Linked DNA regions of Danio rerio. The protein of the gene in region 4 binds, or shares a complex with, the protein of the main gene of each other region. Links are inferred from orthologs where the notes say so. Each region holds a gene or a part of one and is shown on either strand. Other genes may lie near its edges. The genes, in order: lamtor1, lamtor4, flcn and lamtor3.

Region 1 (4,461 bases), on a different chromosome or scaffold from region 4:
GCGGTTGGACGGCAGATTGTCTGCATTTCGCTCTGAGCCATTAGTGGGTTTTCTTTCTTGGTTTGGGTCAGGAATCAGTGGCTTCACCTCATCTCCATCCTGCAGGACCAAAACATCAACACATCCTGTTCAAACACCCAGAAAGACCACTTTATTTTCATGTAAGCTAACAGGCTGCATTCACGCTGCAGATCTTGATGGTCAATTGCGATTTTGTGACTGTATCTGATTTTTTTGATGACCTGCTTACATCATTAATTAAAAGGGACTCGTATCCGATTGTCTGCATTTACACAGTACACAGCAAAGGCGCAATGACCAGGAAAAATAATTAAATTAAATAAAAATAGAAAAAAAGAGTGGGCGATATCCCAATATAAAAATAAATCATAAATACTCCTCATACTTTCGTACAACTGTTATAAATACTCCCAGACCTGAAAATCCACTAATACATTCAACTTTTCCATCATTGAGAAAACCCTTAATACTACATATCCCCAAACATTAACATTAGGACATGTCAGATCTGACACATTAGATCCAAATCCAACACAATTTACGACAAATCCCACAGAAACACCAGCTTTAGTTCATTAAAAAAACACACGTTGATGATCAAATATACATAAAAAAAGTAGCGTAACTGGAATAATTTTGACGCAGTTTTGACAAACACTCAGCATTGAGCTGTTCTTGAATCATAAACACACAACTGTATTAAAAATGTGTCGTAAGTAAATGTTGTTGCAGGACTACAGACGCTACATTAAGCTGCATTATTAGTGTTTTGGGTATTTGTCTGTACTGGACAGCATAACACCAACTTTTAGTGCAAACCCTACAATATTTAGACATTTTAATTTAAAACATTTTCACGTTTGGCTTCAGTTTATTATTTAAAACCAACTAAAATCATAACTGCATTAAACTGTATTAAAAGTGTGTCGTAAGTAAATGTTGTTGCAGAACTACAGACGCTACATTAAGCTGCATTATTATTGGTATTTTAAGTTATTTTTCAGCATTGGACAGCATAAAACTAACTTTTAGTGTAAATCCAACAAAATTTGCACATTTTAATTTAAAAACCTTTTCACGATTGGCTTAATTAATTTTTTTTTTTTAGCTCACTAAAATCAGAAATACTCCTCATATTTTCGTACAACTATTATAAAAACTCCCAGGCCTAAAATCCACTAATACAGTGGTTCTCAAACTGTGGTACGTGTACCACTAGCGGTACGCAGGCTTCCTTCTAATGGTACGCAGAGGAATCCTACATGTCACGTACAAGCAACATATATTTCAAAATTTATCAAAAATGGTTTGAATATGAATATGATGACATATAGCCTATTTATGAGGTCCAAGCAACATTTCCAGGTTTTGATAAATAGGACTTTACATTTAAGTACAGCAGTTTTTTTCTATTTAAGGACAGTAACCTACCATTTTTATTAAACCTTTAAAAGCACATTAATTTAAACGTTAACATTAATTTTTTTGTTTGTTTGTTTACATATAAGCAGAGTACAGTCTTAATGTTACTATTTATAATGTTTAAAGTGGCTTATAATAATAAATATCCTTAATAGTAGTAGTTATTTTACCACGTTATTAAACTGTGCAGAGCTGCAGCTGTTTTACTGGGCCTACTACGCTACTGTATTTCAATACCGGTCATTATGGTGGTACTTGGAGGAACAATCTTTTCTGAGGTGGTACTTGATGAAAAAAGTTTGAGAATTACTGCACTAATATATTTAACTATTCCATCATTGTGGAAACCCTAACACTACATTTCCCCAAACATTAGCATTAGCACATGTCAGATCTGACACATTAGATCCAAATCCAACACAAAACTCTCAATTTAAGACTATTTCCACCGAAACACCAGCTTCAGTTCATTACAAACACACGCTTATGATATAATATACATAAATAAAGTAGCGTTAGTGGATTAAGTTTGTTGTAGTTTTGACAAACACTCAGTATTGAGCTGTTCTTGAATCACAAACACACAACTGTATTAAAAGTGTGTCGTAAGTAAATGTTGTTGCAGGACTACAGACACTACATTAAGCTGCATTATTATTGGTATTTTAAGTTATTTTTCAGCATTGGACAGCATAAAACTAACTTTTAGTGTAAATCCAACAAAATTTGCACATTTTAATTTAATAAACCTTTTCACGATTGGCTTAATTTTTTTTCTTTTTCACTCAATAAAATCATAAATACTCCCCATATTTTCGTACAACTGTTATAAAAACTCCCAGGCCTAAAATGCACTAATATATTTAACTTTTCCATCATTGTGGAAACCCTAACACTACATTTCCCCAAACATTAGCATTAGCACATGTCAGATCTGACACATTAGACCCACATCCAACACAAAACTCCCAATTTAAGACTAACTCCACCGAAACACCAGCTTCAGTTCATTACAAACACACGTTAATGATCAAATATACATAAATAAAGTAGCGTTAGTGGATTAAGTTTGTTGTAGTTTTGACAAGCACTCAGTATTGAGCTGTTCTTGAATCACAAACACACAACTGTATTGAAAGTGTGTCGTTAGTAAATGTTGTTGCAGGACTACAGACGCTACATTAAGCTGCATTATTAGTGTTTTGAGTTACCGGATCCGTCGTCTCGCTGTCGCTGCTGAAACAGCACCCCATGATGGCCGCCCAGCGGGTTCAGTATCCTGAATTTGGGTTTTTTATTCGTCTCAGGAGCGTTTTTGAGGTTGTGTTTGCCTCTTGGCTGTGAAGAGATTTGCTGCAAACGCAGAAACCATCACATGACAGCACTCCCAATCGTGTCACGTGTCTTCCGTCTCCACACTGGCACGTCAGTTCCGCCCCAAAAACCCGTTAAAAACCTTCATAGATATATACATTAGATGTCGCCTGGCCTATTGTTGTCTATTGGACGGAATGCGTCAATAGCGCCGCCATCTTGCTACAGGGTAGCGCTCCTTTGAAATGAATGCAGGACCAAGGTACAGTGGAGGACTGTGGCCATCCAAAGCCAGAGATATACACATATATCTATGATCGGGAGTTTTCCTGGATGTTGTATGTAATTTTTTTTTTCTAATTACGAAAATTATAATTTTACATCACATTCCTGACAAAAAGCTTGTGTTTGTGTGTACAGAAATGTACTATCCACCCTCCCTGTTAAATTTGATCTAATCATGTCCTGAAACACAGCTCCTCTCCTGCTTTCACTTCTCATACTGACGGAGCGGGAGCGAGTTGGAGCTGCTTTGCCTTATGGTGAATGCAGTAAGTCACTGTTTTCATCAATAACGTTACCTGATTAGCACAAAAGTTCAGAACATACAAAAACAGAAAAAACTTTTTATTACCTATGGAATGTTCTGCCTTTGTGCTTTGTTTTCTGTTTTGCTCGCTAAAGTCCCGCATCTTCACGTAATAACACTGACTTGACTAGTGCGGTTGAATGACATTTGTACTGGGAGCACTGTACCAATGTGGCGGCGCTATTGACGCATGCTCAGGGTCCCTATGCGATATCTAGTGTGTGTATGTATGTATATATGGAATGTATATATGTATGTATATATATGTATGTATATATATGTATATATATGTATATATATATATGTATGAAAAACCTTTAGGAAACCTTTATGAAAAACCTTTAAGAAACATCATGCTTTTTTTTTTTTTTTTTTTTTGCAATAATAACAGTACTTTACAACAAATACAGATACAAAACTGAAAGTATGGTACAATCAATAGAAATATTACTTTTTGAAAAAGTGGAATGTAACAAATTTAGAACAAATATAATATAGGTAAATCAAAATAAAGACAACGAGAGAGAGAGAGAGAGAGAGAGAGAGAGAGAGAGAGAGAGAGAGAGAGAGAGAAATAATAATAATAATTAAGGGCACATGACAAAGATTAAACAAATTATTGCAGGATATTAAATAAAGCACATATTTTATAAGTTTTAATAGCTTTCTTATTGTGAGAGTCTGTGATGGGTTTTTTTTTAAATAAAGAGCTAGTTCTCGTTTAAAAAAAAAAAAAAAAATAGGCTTACAATGAGTATATTTGCATTTGTGTATAAAAAACTTTCCAATAAATAAAATGTGGTTTATGCAAAAAGTTGAATTAAGGAATTCTTTTCCTTTAATATAAAACCACAAAATAATATGTCTATAGCTTAAAGAAAAATCTCCACAAACCTTTTGGATAATTAGAGAGTTTACATTAGACCAAAAAGATTTAACAGAGGGACACTCCCGAAACAAGTGAGCAACAGATTCAGAAGAGGTTTCACAGAAAGAGCAAGAGATGCCAATGTCATTTTTACATTTTTGTAAAAATTGTTTAACGGGATAAAACCTGTAAATAATTTTAAAAGATATTTCTTTAATTTTATTTGTTAAAAAAAATTCTGGGGGAG
Region 2 (4,202 bases), on a different chromosome or scaffold from region 4:
CATAAAATATGATGCAATGAATCCTTTAATCTATAGCTTAATGGATTATTGGAGTTAAATGTTAATGCAAATCTATAATGATGTCCAGCAATACTATAATTGTGACCACTCAAGTATGAAAGGGACTAAAATATAAAAACAATTTAATCCTGTATCCAAAAAAAAGAAATCAGATGAACCATGTAACATCATAATCTAATAAGAGAAACACATGAACTTACTTTGGCTCAGGTCAAATACACCTGACATCACCAAAAGGCCCCCAAAACATTGCAAAATTTCACCTTAAGAAAGAAAGAGAGTGTGATTGTGCTAAACATCGGGTGGTTGTAAAGACGGGGTCATTTTTATGTGAGGGCACCATTTTGAGCTTGTAATAGTGGGAAAGATCAGTCCATATTATCCTCTTTACTACACGATAACAGGCTCCCGCTGGTTGTTCTGCCTTTTCACTACGAAAACCTTCTGTCCGGAGATGGTCACAGCATAGACGTAGTCTTCAAACATCACTGACATCAGACAAAAAAGGAAAGAAAAAAATATACATTAATATCAGTATTTGTTTGGAAGTTATGGATTTTCACAGCAAGTAAAAATGATTTACTGTAAAATAGTAAATGATCATATATCAATTATTTCTTATTGAATAAATTTAATTAAAACAACAAATTAAAGAGGGTTATTTTATTTTATTAGGGCTATTTTGTTCCTAAACAAAATCAAGAGGATAAAAAAAGACTTAAAATGGTTACACATGAAACCATAAAAACTAATAAAACCTTTTTTTTTTTAAACAGACCTATTTAAAAACACAACTGATAGAAATACATAACAAAATTGCTTAAACTTTAAATAGAAAAAACACAAAATGTAAAGATAAAAACTATTTCAAACTGTAAAAATATCTGGATAATACTTAAACCTAATGTTACAAATAAACACTAATACTACAGTGATATCTGAATATTACATAAACCTGATGTTACACAAGCATGTTTACTTTAATAATTCACATCACATTTTTTGAAAATTAAATGACAAAATATGAGTGAAATATTGTTCTATCATCATTCAGCATTTATCTAAAAATGAAGTGCGTTTCTTACCAGACATGCGCTTGAATGGGGGCTCTGCAGTCCCATGTAATCTGAAGCGACAAGCTGTTCGGACCATCTGCATGATCACTCCTGCTGTGTGCTCGTCATTCTCCAGCTCTCCTGCCGACTGTAGATTACAAAAAACATTCACTTACTGCTTAACTGAGACAAGTGGAGTCATTATTAATCCCCCTATGATATTTTCTTTTTTAAATATTTCCCAAATTATGTTTAATAGAGCAAGGACATTTTCACATTATTTCATATAATATTGTTTCCTCTGGAGAAAGTCTTATTTGTTTTATTTTGGCCAGAATAAAAGCAGCTTTTCATACCATTTTAACTCAATTATTATTACCCCCCCCCCCCCAAGCAATATATTTTTTTAACTTGTCTACAGAACAAATTATTGTTAATTAAATTACTAATTAAACTAAGTATCTTCCTTAACCTAATTAACCCAATTAAGCCTTTAAATTGAACTTGAAGCTGAATACTATTATCCTGAAAAATATGTAGTAAAATAGTATGTACTGTCATCATGGCGAAGATAAAAGAAATTCATTAGTTATTCAATCTATTATGTTTAGAAAAGTGTTGAAAAAAAATCTCTCTGTAAAACAGAAATTGGGGAAAAATATAAAAGATTTAAAATTAAACAGCAAGGCTAATAATTCTGACTCAACTGTAAATGATAAATTGATTATATGATTAAAACATAGAACCTATCGAATATATAGAAAGAGACAGAGAGAGAGATAACCCCTTGAGCCAGGTGTGTCCAACAGACAGACAGACAGACAGACAGACAGATAGATAGATACAGTTAAAGGCACAATTATTGGCAATAAATAAATATTTTCCTTTTTTAATTTATTTTCATGAAGGCTGTTCAAAAGGAAGAAGATTTCTCAACACATTTTTAAAAATAATAGTTGTAATATATATATTTTTTAACAGAATCTGTCTTTGCCATGATAACACTGCATAATATTTTGCTAGTTATTTTACAAGATATTAGAATTCATCTTAATGAGTAACTTAAAGGCTTAACTTGGTTAATAAGTTTAACTAGGCAAGTCATTGAATACCATTATTTTGTTCTAAGGGCCTATTAACCTATTAAAATTGTTATTTTTTTATTTAAAAACTGCTTTTATTCCAGACAAAATAAAAGAAATAAAAAATTTTCTCAAGAATAAAAATATTATAGAAAATACTGTGAAAATGTCATTGCTCAGTTCATCATAACTTGGGAATTTTTTTTTAAATAATATGTATCAGTAGAGGCGTAATAATTTTGCCTCAAAGTGTAGACAGGCAAACAGAGACAGACAGAACAATAAGACTGACAGACATTGAATTCTAATTAATTATTTCTCATTTGCCCAAATCAGGATTCTCTTTTCAACGCATTTCACCCTCATGTCAAGTTCTCCGAAAATGTAAGTTATGAATTTTAACAGCTTACCGCGAGTACTCCGTCTTCACTAATAACCAAGTACCCAAGTTGATCGGGTATTCTCTCCAAGCCTTGAGTCAAAGCAGTAGTCTGACATTCAACACACGATAATACTGTAATTAAACACTAACAGAGCTCATATGATATTAGACTGCATCATCAATCACATTATTTACAAAATCTTTGTTTTATAAGTTCTAAATGCACTAAAACAAAACATTTAATAAAAAAAACATTTAATTAAACAAATATTTTAAAGGTAAGAATTATATTTACCATTTTAGACAGTGCAGATAAATGTACACTGCTGTTTTCCTTCACACCCCGCCTCACGTGACTGACATCAAGCGTCGCGTGTTTATAACGTCATTCCAGGAGATGTTTTGCTTATTCGACATTATTTTTGTTTATATGCATTGGAAACGTACAAAATGTGATAAAAAATCTTAGTATGACTAAAACGTGGCGGATTTTTATTTAATTTGCTAGGATTTATGCGCTGTTCTCGCATTTAACAAAAAATAATCTGTATCAGGATCAGATTCGCTGTCATAATCACCGCACACAGGTCGGTCGTTAACGCGAGCAGCACAGATCTCAGATCAGCTAAATAAGGCGCTTACGCGACTACGCAAAGCGGAAGTGAAGTGGTCAGCTGATTAAAGCATATGATCCTGCTGAACGGAAAACATTTCGTCCATTCTGCGTCTTTTATTTGAGCAAAATATAAGACAAAGTCACGATGCCCGGACGAGGAAAATTAATCGCAGTTATCGGTGATGAAGACACGTGCACCGGATTTCTCCTCGGAGGGATCGGAGAGCTCAATAAAAACCGTAAACCCAATTTCTTGGTGGTGGAGAAGGAAACCAGCGTTACAGAGATAGAGGAGACCTTCAAGTAAGTGACACGATCCTAAATGTCTGAATGACTCAACATCATATATTACAATCTAATTATCAAATATGTGTCATTACAAATATATGGATGAAGACTTGCTTTTTAAAAAAATATTTATGTTTATCTATCTATCTATCTATCTATCTATCTATCTATCTATCTATCTATCTATCTATCTATCTATCTATCTATCATATCAGCCAAATATTTTAGAAAAAACATTTATATATAAATTATTTTTATGTAGTAATAATTACCTAAATTTGTCAAGAAACCCACTTAAATGTCTTTTAGTTTAACAATATTTTATATACACCAGTAAACTGTCAATCATATTTGCAAGAAACTATTAAAGACATATCAAACTATTAATATTATGAATTACAGTGCAGCCCCTATTGACAATTGTCATTTAAATATCCTTTGTCACTATTCTTCAAACTACTGATCAATTTTGAATAATTTAAATATAAGAACATGTTTGTCTGATCTCTTCTTATTCTGACGATAGATCATTTTGAGGAATGTAAACAAAAACAAATGTTCCAACGTATTTTCTGTTTTACATTTTTAATTTTTATAGCTTACGAGAATCTAAAAAGAGCCTGCTTATTGATAAATAATGTTATGATAGCTTTTTTAGAATTAAGTTATTATTCAATTGTTTCTTTGATATCAAGCATAGGCCAATGTCATCACCACAATGAAATGGTCTATATGAATAAGTACAAGTCCAAGTCAAT
Region 3 (3,699 bases), on a different chromosome or scaffold from region 4:
CAAAAACCCATAATAGGACCTCTTTAAATAAGCTGTTTGAATAAACAGCAAACATTTTTTTGAGTATAGGATCTTCAGAATTGTGTTTTAGAGAAAAGATGTATATTTAAAAATGTATTTTTAAATGAATTTATACTTTGTTTACAGATCCAAAAAATTTATTAAAACATATAGAATTGTTATTAAAAAGGTAAAAAGTTTAACCATTATATTAAAAAGTAATAAAAAAAATAATAATTAAAAACATTGATGTATAAAATAATATAATAGATGTTTTTAATGGATAAATTAGACCAGACAGAATTTAAATAGATTTTTTATACATAAAAAACATGTTAAATATAAGTAAAATGTCTATTTAATGTAAATAATGTCGATGAAAATGCAATGCTAAAATATGGGAGAAATTTTCTTACTCATGTTATCGTCTTTTAATTTAAAAACAGCTTAAAATAAAGTGTAAAACGAAGTGGTTTGATAGATTTTGGTAAAGTTTTAAGACTTAAAATGAAAATGAATGAGAATTTCAGGACTGCACTGTGATCCTTGAATATCTTATTTGATTATATTATATATCTTATACTGTGCATTGTTAAAAGATTCCTGTTCTAATTATGCCTTAAAAAAACTCATTTACATTTTAGTGGATGATTTCTCTAAGTCATTATTATTTTATTTTATCATTTATATGATATGATATGGCATAATATCATATATGATATGACATGTTATGATATTATATGATATATGATGCTGATGATAATTTTATTCCAAAATGAGAAAAATAGCAATGATAAAGTAAAAGTAGCTGTGCCCAAACCTTCAGCTGGAAAGCATTATTAAAGGAGAAGCTGAAAATCTTGCTAAATCTCTTCTAATCCTTATTTGTGACCATTTCCCAGGCTTTGCTTCCAGTTGGCTGTGTGCGAGCAGTGCAGTACAGTCCTCACTATGAGGAAGCATATCGGTGCAACTTCCTTGGCCTTAGTCCAGACGTACCCATCCCAGCCCACGTCAGCTCCTCAGGTATCTTCTGTTCTTTAGAAACCTTTTTATTGAAAAAAACCCTCTGTTGTACACACATTTTCCACAAGTAGTTGAAAATACATGTTTAAAAAGCCCCAAGAGGTCTGACCCCATTAACCCATTGTATTCTCATGCCATCCCTGAGGCATTGCAGTAGTTGAGGGTCAAACTTACGCAAACATTAACACTCACTTCAGTCCCGCTCTCTTAATCTTCATCCAGCATCTCGAGGGGAACATGTTGTTTATCTAACAAGATTTCTATCAAGACAAACATACATATATGCAACAGAGGCCTCAAACTAAGTGTTTTAGGGTGTTCTTTGTCAGAGTTTGATTTAAATCCCATTTCCCAACTTGTGTGCGACTGTTTTCTATCTAAACACAGCGAATCTGCTTCATAACTCTTTGTCAGGTTCATTTGAAGTTCAACACACTGATAGAGCCTCCTGAAGGTTTAACCTCTGTCTTTCTCCGTCTCGATTTGTCTTCCAGAGTTTTCTGTGCTGGTGGATGTACTGAGCGCAGAGCGAGGTTGTGTAAACCCCGTTTCAGACGATGACATTCTGTCACTTTACCAGTTCCACATTAGCAGTGCCAACACACAACCAACAGATAAAGGTAAGCGCGTGAACATAACATCAGTTGGGTTGCTATTAGTCTTTAGATTTACACTCTAGCCAAAATGCTCGAGTTTTTCTCTTGTGTTTTAATAAAGTTTCACCTTTACACAATCTGCATTTAGATATTAGCAAAAGCACTGTACAACAAATACTAGGCTAGTTTTTGGCGTAGTCATCTTGTTAGTAAACAGTACATAGCGTTGATGTGAATGCAGAACTTGCAATGAGTGTAAGGTCTTTAACGGCATAATGTGATGTAAATCCAATCTTTGCTGATGGATTGTTAGCAAACACTTGTGCAACAATGTTATCATGTTCTCCACTGTTGTAGAGTGTTTGTTTGTGCTAGCCTTTAATCTACAGCTCTTTAAACACCTACTATGCGTGCACATGATGTCATCACTTTCTTAGACTCTCATTTGTTGCGTGTTTACATGGACAAACAGTGGCTGCGCTTTCAAAGACTTCCACGTTTACAGGTTTATGTGATTTCCAATTCAAAAACACAGTCGTCTCTTAAATGAACAGGCATGTGTATGTCAGGCAAAATGTATGTCATTTTGGTTGAAAGTATTATGATGTTAATGGCCCCTCAGAAATCTTTTTTAAAGGGATCTCTTGATATGAAGGTTTGTATGTCTTAATATAATGTAAATGATGCCTCTGTGAAGTATGTAGAAAAAACACAACATATTTAGGCTTTTTTTGTTTTTTAAATCCACAATCTGGGTGCTCCACCTCTTTCTGTAAATATATTTCTATTGTAAATGCAGCACAAATGGTGATACAAAACTATGATATGGTGCCACATTGTGCAGCTTTTGCTTCTAATGGGCTATATGTACAGCAAGTGTTTTTCAGCCACTGATAAACTTCTGGTGAAAGCTTAATGCGACTATTTTCAATTTCATAAGGTTCCTTTTACAGCATCAACATTGTAATGTAATTAAAATACATTCAGTTAAATTAACTTAAGCATTATTTAGTTGTTCATGTGTAAAACGAAATGAAAGACCACGTAAGTGCGATTGCCGTCAGTAGCATCAGGCTAGTTCAGAAACTCCACTGAAAATATTGGAGTGTAATAAACTGTCTTATTTTAAAGACGTGATGGTAGAAAATGGAATTTGATGCAGTGCTTCTTCTCTGGTCTGAAACGCACTTCATATCGTATATCTATCAGGCAGTGAGGATCACTGATCTTTAAAGAAATCACACCTTAAACGTGGTAATTTTATAATGGAAAGACAGTTCACCGGAATCGGCTGGCTGGCTGGCTGAAATGAAAAGTCTGTGTGCATATGTCTCATTTTCAATCAAAGGGATGTTAATTTTCATTACCGGTATTTTTTTTCCTCCAACATTAAAACATTAAATGCCTCAGGAAATCAAGTTTAATATACATTGAGAAAAAGCAGAGAAAAGAAATGAAAGGGAACAAAGATGCCGATGCTTGTCAACATCTGTCGCAGAAGACACTGTGTATTAGTTTATGTTAAACGCTGAACTTACTGACTCTAGTGAAACTGTCTGATCGCCAGCTCTCTCCGTGAATGAGCTAAACTTTCAATTCAGTGACAGTTTCACTTGGTCTTAAGTAAACAAGGATTTTTAGAATATTGTAAATGTCATGTTTTTACTTCTTTTACATTATATCTAGGCCAGAGGTTGCGTTAACCGAATATTTTCCGTCATTGACAGATTTTTTTCAGCTGTGACGGAAAAAATCTGAAGGTGATCCATCAATTTGACGGATTATTCTGAGGGGGATCTGTTGTAATTTGTTGCTAACTGTAATTTCCACTCCTGTCCAGCTGATGGCGATTGCCCTTGTTTTGTCACCTCTTGTCAGCACTGCAGAGTTGTAAAAATGTCACTAGAGCCGAGTATGAGAAACTTCTTTATATTTCCAAATAGTTGTGATAATAATAATAATAAAGGTGAAAACGAGGAAGTGATGCAGTGGACGATGAAGAACAAACAGAAAAAAATCAGTCACCGACAGCTGTTACGGGCCAACCAAGTCGCAGCAAGGAGATCAGGTGCTTTGG
Region 4 (4,497 bases):
AACCATTATCAAAGTTACAAATGGTACTTAAACTTCTTACGCCTGAATGTGTTTAAGGTCATTATACAATTATTATTATTATTTTTTTTTTTTTTAGCTCATTATACAATTCCATGCATCAAAAACATGCAAATAATGAATTTTAATCCAAACTCAACATTGCCTATATTTGTCATGTGACTATTGCGAATGATCAATTTGCAATGTTGATGCTGATATATTGTACAGCCCTAGTCTGCAGTGTCACATGGTTCTTCAGAAATCAATCTGTTATGATCAGTTATTATTGCTAATCAATCATTATTAATAAGTCATCTTATCAATATTATCAGTTTCCCCACTTCATTGTTTTGTGGAAGCTATGTTAAATGTCACTTTTAGAATTCTTTGATGAAAGGAAAGCTCAAGCATCTACTTAAAATAAAGTCTACTTTTTATGTTCTATATATGTATGTTAAAATAATATGTGTAGTATATCTATGTAGTAAAGCTCTGAAATGTTGCTTGTGTCCACTCTAGTGGCTAATGACAATGCTCCTGAATATGCGCTGCGGCCGGCCTTCTTGTCCACCTTTGCTTTGGCAACCGACCAGGGCAGCAAGCTGGGCTTGTCCAAAAATAAGAGCATCATTTGTTACTACAACACATATCAGGTGCTTTCTTTGACATAAGACACATTTGATCTGCTAGTTACTCAGAATTTCTTATATTAACGTATGCTGTTTATCATTGGCAGATTGTACAGTTCAACCGATTACCCTTAGTGATAAGTTTCATCGCAAGTAGTAACGCTAACACGGGTGAGTATTTCTCTGTCACAATGAGCCATTTTTACTTTAGAGATCAAAATTAAAGAAGTTGTCACTGCTTAGCCGTATTTGATTTACCCGCTAGTGTGGTGTAAATTAAAGAGGGGGTTTGACCCTCCTAATTAATGCTTAAACTTCCTAAAGGATATCAAAACTAGATGTGTGTGGGGTCTGGGAAGTAGTTTTCACGTATCTGTATCTGGAATAATAATAATAATAATAAGTTAATATTAATATTAACTTATCCTATATGTTAATAATAACTTCTAATCAGAAAAAAACAAATCTAGCCCACAGTAAATCTTCAAAATATGCTGTTTCTTGTAAATTCTATCTATATTCTGTCTACATGTAGCCTAATAGATAAGTCAAATTAAACTAGATGGAAGTTGCACAGTAAACTGTATGTGCAATCTTTTATTATCATATATTTATTGGAGCTGGAATAAAGTTATCCCGGTTCAGCAAAATACCTGTTTTATACCAAAAACATGTTGTTAATAGTTGTTTGTTGAAATAGCCCATCACAGGTTTACTGTATGCAAAAGTCTATTTATTACTCATTAAAAACACAGAAAGTAATTTTTATTAATAAACGAGATGTCATTGAAATATATGAATTTGGTTCACTGAGGCATGCATGTGTAGGCTATTATCAAAACAGAAAAAAAGCAGACCCCCGGTAATCAGATAATTTAAACACTGGTGTAGATCATTAAAACCAATTAACTAACAATAATGTATTAAAACATAAAATGTTTATGAATCTGCCATTTCTGACCTGCACTGTTTGATGGATGTTCTGTGTACATTACAGTAACCAGGGTTCTTACGGATGCTGGAAGTCATTGGAAATGCTTCAATTTTAATTAAGTGTTGTGGATTTGGGATAAATGTATTTAATTAAGTGTAATTATGTTGCTTTCATAATAAGGTGTTACTAAATAGGTAACAATGATTTAATCTTTAAATAAAATAAAGAAATATTTTTGCTTTAGCACATGGGTCTCAAACTCAATTCCTGGAGGGCCGCAGCTCTGCACAGTTTTACTCCAATCTTAATCAAACACAGCTGATCTAGTAGAGTCTAGGGCTGCTTCTTAATATGCGTTCTTGTCTGTATTTGCGGTCTTGTGTCCTCGTGAAACGTCATCAACCCTTGCCAAGGATGCATCGAGAGGTGACTTATGCGAACTTGCGAAGCTCAAGTATTCCAGAATGGAAGAGAGAAAACCCAGGAGGAGAAAACCCACACAGTTTTAAAAGTACTCCTTTAATGTGTCACAAAATAAAGTTTTAACAGTTTTTCAGGCGAGTGTAGTTGTTTTACACTCGAATCAGCAGTTTATTCACAAAGATAGCGCATCTTTGACGATGTGCCTCAGCTTATGCAGACTTCGACTCCCAGCCTGCCAGCAGGAGCTCCGCCATCACCTCCCCCGCCAAGAGCAGCCTTACTTTGGCCAGTCCATCTGGGATGTACCGCTGGATCTCATCAATCCATTGTAGTTAAAACATGATATTTAATACATCTTGTGTATATCTAGTGGACAGTATTTGGTCTTTAAAATCTATTATTTGTTATCAGGTGTATTATTTTGGCAGTATTATTTTGTTACCTTTTATAATGGTCTTTAATTATGTTACCGTGTTGTACGCTGTTTGTCTTTGTTTACCAAATTGTTCGACCATAATCCTTATTTCTTGTTGTGTATGTCTTTATTTCTTATGTATAGACTTGTATAATTACCATTGTAGTTTATCAAATCTAATAATCAAATACACGTGTCTAATAACTCCTTTTACTTCACAGTTATATGAATTTATGTTTACATTTTCTTAAATCAAAAATGTAGATTTGTAATATTAATATATTAATTATAGGGTCGTGCTTTATATAATTGAATAATTGTTTTTGCTAATGCACAGTGAAATCGATGACTCCACGGTGAGGCAAGTGTCGTGATAAAGTACACTGCCGTTCCATTTGAAGAAGTGCCCGACTTGTGGCCTCAGGAGTTCGTTCTTCTAGTCTGAACTTAGCAAGTCTGAACTTTGTGTACTTGATAATGAGAAACAGCCAGTCTTAAACATCTTGATTAGTTGGATCAGCTGTGTTTGATTAGGGTTTGAGCAAAGCTGCGGCCCTCCAGGAATTGGGTTTGAGACCTATGCTTGAGCATTAAATGAAATCTCTGGAGTCCATGCCTGCAATCCGTCTGCCTAAGATGTGAATAAAGTACATGTAAGGGTCCCGTGAAGTGCTTTGAAATGTGCATTTTTATTTGATGTTTGACATGATCTCAACTGAAAAATGAAGAGAGTGGGACATAAAGTAGTTTCTCCCCTTTTAAAAGAAAAAACTGCCAATAGTGATTCGTTTAAAAAAAAAAAAACTATTGTTAGCTTTGCCAGTGAGAGGGATTGAGCTCAAATGCATTAAATGAGAAGCATCTTGAAGTAGGAGGGGCATGTCAGATACTAGAGAGCATTTGATTGGTCAAGATTTGATGACAAACTGACTATGAGGTGGTGGCATGGAAAAAAACAAACCTTTTAGGAATTGCAAACTGCAAAGCTTTGGATGTTTCTATCAGATTTATATCTTCTAAACGCGTTTCCTTAAAACTAACAGACTGAAACTAATATCTAATAAAGTTTATTTTCATTTCACCAGACCTTTAAAAGACTGAATGACAGTTATTCAATGTTGGGCTTGGAACTATTAATATCAGTTGAATGATATGTTTTCCTCTTTGTTTTTCTTCTGTAGGATTGATCTTCAGTCTGGAGAAGGAGCTGGTTCCTCTGATTGAAGAACTTAGGCAGGTGGTGGAAGTGGCTTAGCAGCTGTTCATCTCAGACCACCTGAATGATAAGAGAGCCACTTTCCAATCTGAGGTCCTGGTGCTCGAGTTCATGCAAACACATCTGTACATATGTATTGTTGGCTGGCTGTTGTTGTGGATGCTCCTGATGCTGTATGTATTTTATGAATGTAACCTGCTCATTTTTGTGTCATCCTAATTAATAAATTTGTCTTAAGTGTTCGTTTACAAAAAATAAAGTGTATTTAATGACATTGTGCACTTTTTTCTTTGCTCCCAAACAACACGAAAAAAAAAATAAAAATTTTTGGAGAATTTAACTGGGGTGACAGTGGCTCTGTGGTTAGCACTGTCGCCTCACAGCAAGAAGGTCACTGGTTTGAGCGCCAGCTGGGTCAGTTGCCATTTCTGTGTGGAGTTTGCATGTTCTCCCCTGTTGGTGTGGGTTTCCTCCGGGTGCTTCCCCTACAGTCCAAAGACATGCACTATAGGTGAATTGTGAATGTGTAAGGATGTTTTCCCGTACTGGGTTGCAGCTGGAACCACATCTGCTGTGTAAAACATGCTGGATAAGTTGGCGTTTCATTCCGCTGCGGCAACCTCTGATGAATAAAGGGACTAAGCCAAAGGAAAATGAATGAAAGAGAATTTATAATTTTTACTTTGGTGATGTCCAGCATTCTACTGGGACGACATTTTTGTAGATCATGCTTCAAAATTTAGCACTTCTGTTGACCCAGAATCAGATGTGTTTATGGTTAAACACCTGAAACTGTGCTTAAAACGGAAAAGCTTTATATTACGACATAAGTAATAATAACACATATGACATATTTATTATAAATAGGACTGGCAACAAG

The links.
Region 1: lamtor3 (region 4) and lamtor1 share a complex: the UniProt entries of both Homo sapiens proteins name them as parts of the ragulator complex. The link is inferred for Danio rerio from reciprocal best matches to the Homo sapiens genes LAMTOR3 and LAMTOR1.
Region 2: lamtor3 (region 4) and lamtor4 share a complex: the UniProt entries of both Homo sapiens proteins name them as parts of the ragulator complex. The link is inferred for Danio rerio from reciprocal best matches to the Homo sapiens genes LAMTOR3 and LAMTOR4.
Region 3: lamtor3 (region 4) and flcn share a complex: the UniProt entries of both Homo sapiens proteins name them as parts of the lysosomal folliculin complex. The link is inferred for Danio rerio from reciprocal best matches to the Homo sapiens genes LAMTOR3 and FLCN.

The regions. Positions count from the first base shown.
Region 1 is NC_133190.1:46,802,657-46,807,117, forward strand, and holds the start of lamtor1 (ragulator complex protein LAMTOR1), read right to left. Parts: upstream 2,880-4,461; 5' UTR 2,697-2,879; coding exon 2,655-2,696; intron 100-2,654; coding exon 1-99. UniProt on the Homo sapiens protein: Key component of the Ragulator complex, a multiprotein complex involved in amino acid sensing and activation of mTORC1, a signaling complex promoting cell growth in response to growth factors, energy levels, and amino acids.
Region 2 is NC_133179.1:20,644,618-20,648,819, reverse strand, and holds the start of lamtor4 (ragulator complex protein LAMTOR4), read right to left. Parts: upstream 2,899-4,202; 5' UTR 2,839-2,898; coding exon 2,836-2,838; intron 2,686-2,835; coding exon of another isoform or gene 2,650-2,685; coding exon 2,569-2,649; intron 1,225-2,568; coding exon 1,107-1,224; intron 510-1,106; coding exon 412-509; 3' UTR 1-411. Other genes in the region: atp6v1f (V-type proton ATPase subunit F), read left to right, coding at 3,302-3,459. UniProt on the Homo sapiens protein: As part of the Ragulator complex it is involved in amino acid sensing and activation of mTORC1, a signaling complex promoting cell growth in response to growth factors, energy levels, and amino acids.
Region 3 is NC_133191.1:14,166,351-14,170,049, forward strand, and holds part of flcn (folliculin), read left to right. Parts: intron 1-902; coding exon 903-1,026; intron 1,027-1,520; coding exon 1,521-1,646; intron 1,647-3,699. UniProt on the Homo sapiens protein: Multi-functional protein, involved in both the cellular response to amino acid availability and in the regulation of glycolysis.
Region 4 is NC_133188.1:12,898,505-12,903,001, reverse strand, and holds the end of lamtor3 (ragulator complex protein LAMTOR3), read left to right. Parts: intron 1-519; coding exon 520-653; intron 654-736; coding exon 737-800; exon of another isoform or gene 801-1,814; intron 1,815-2,962; exon of another isoform or gene 2,963-3,190; intron 3,191-3,582; coding exon 3,583-3,656; 3' UTR 3,657-3,891; downstream 3,892-4,497. UniProt on the Homo sapiens protein: As part of the Ragulator complex it is involved in amino acid sensing and activation of mTORC1, a signaling complex promoting cell growth in response to growth factors, energy levels, and amino acids.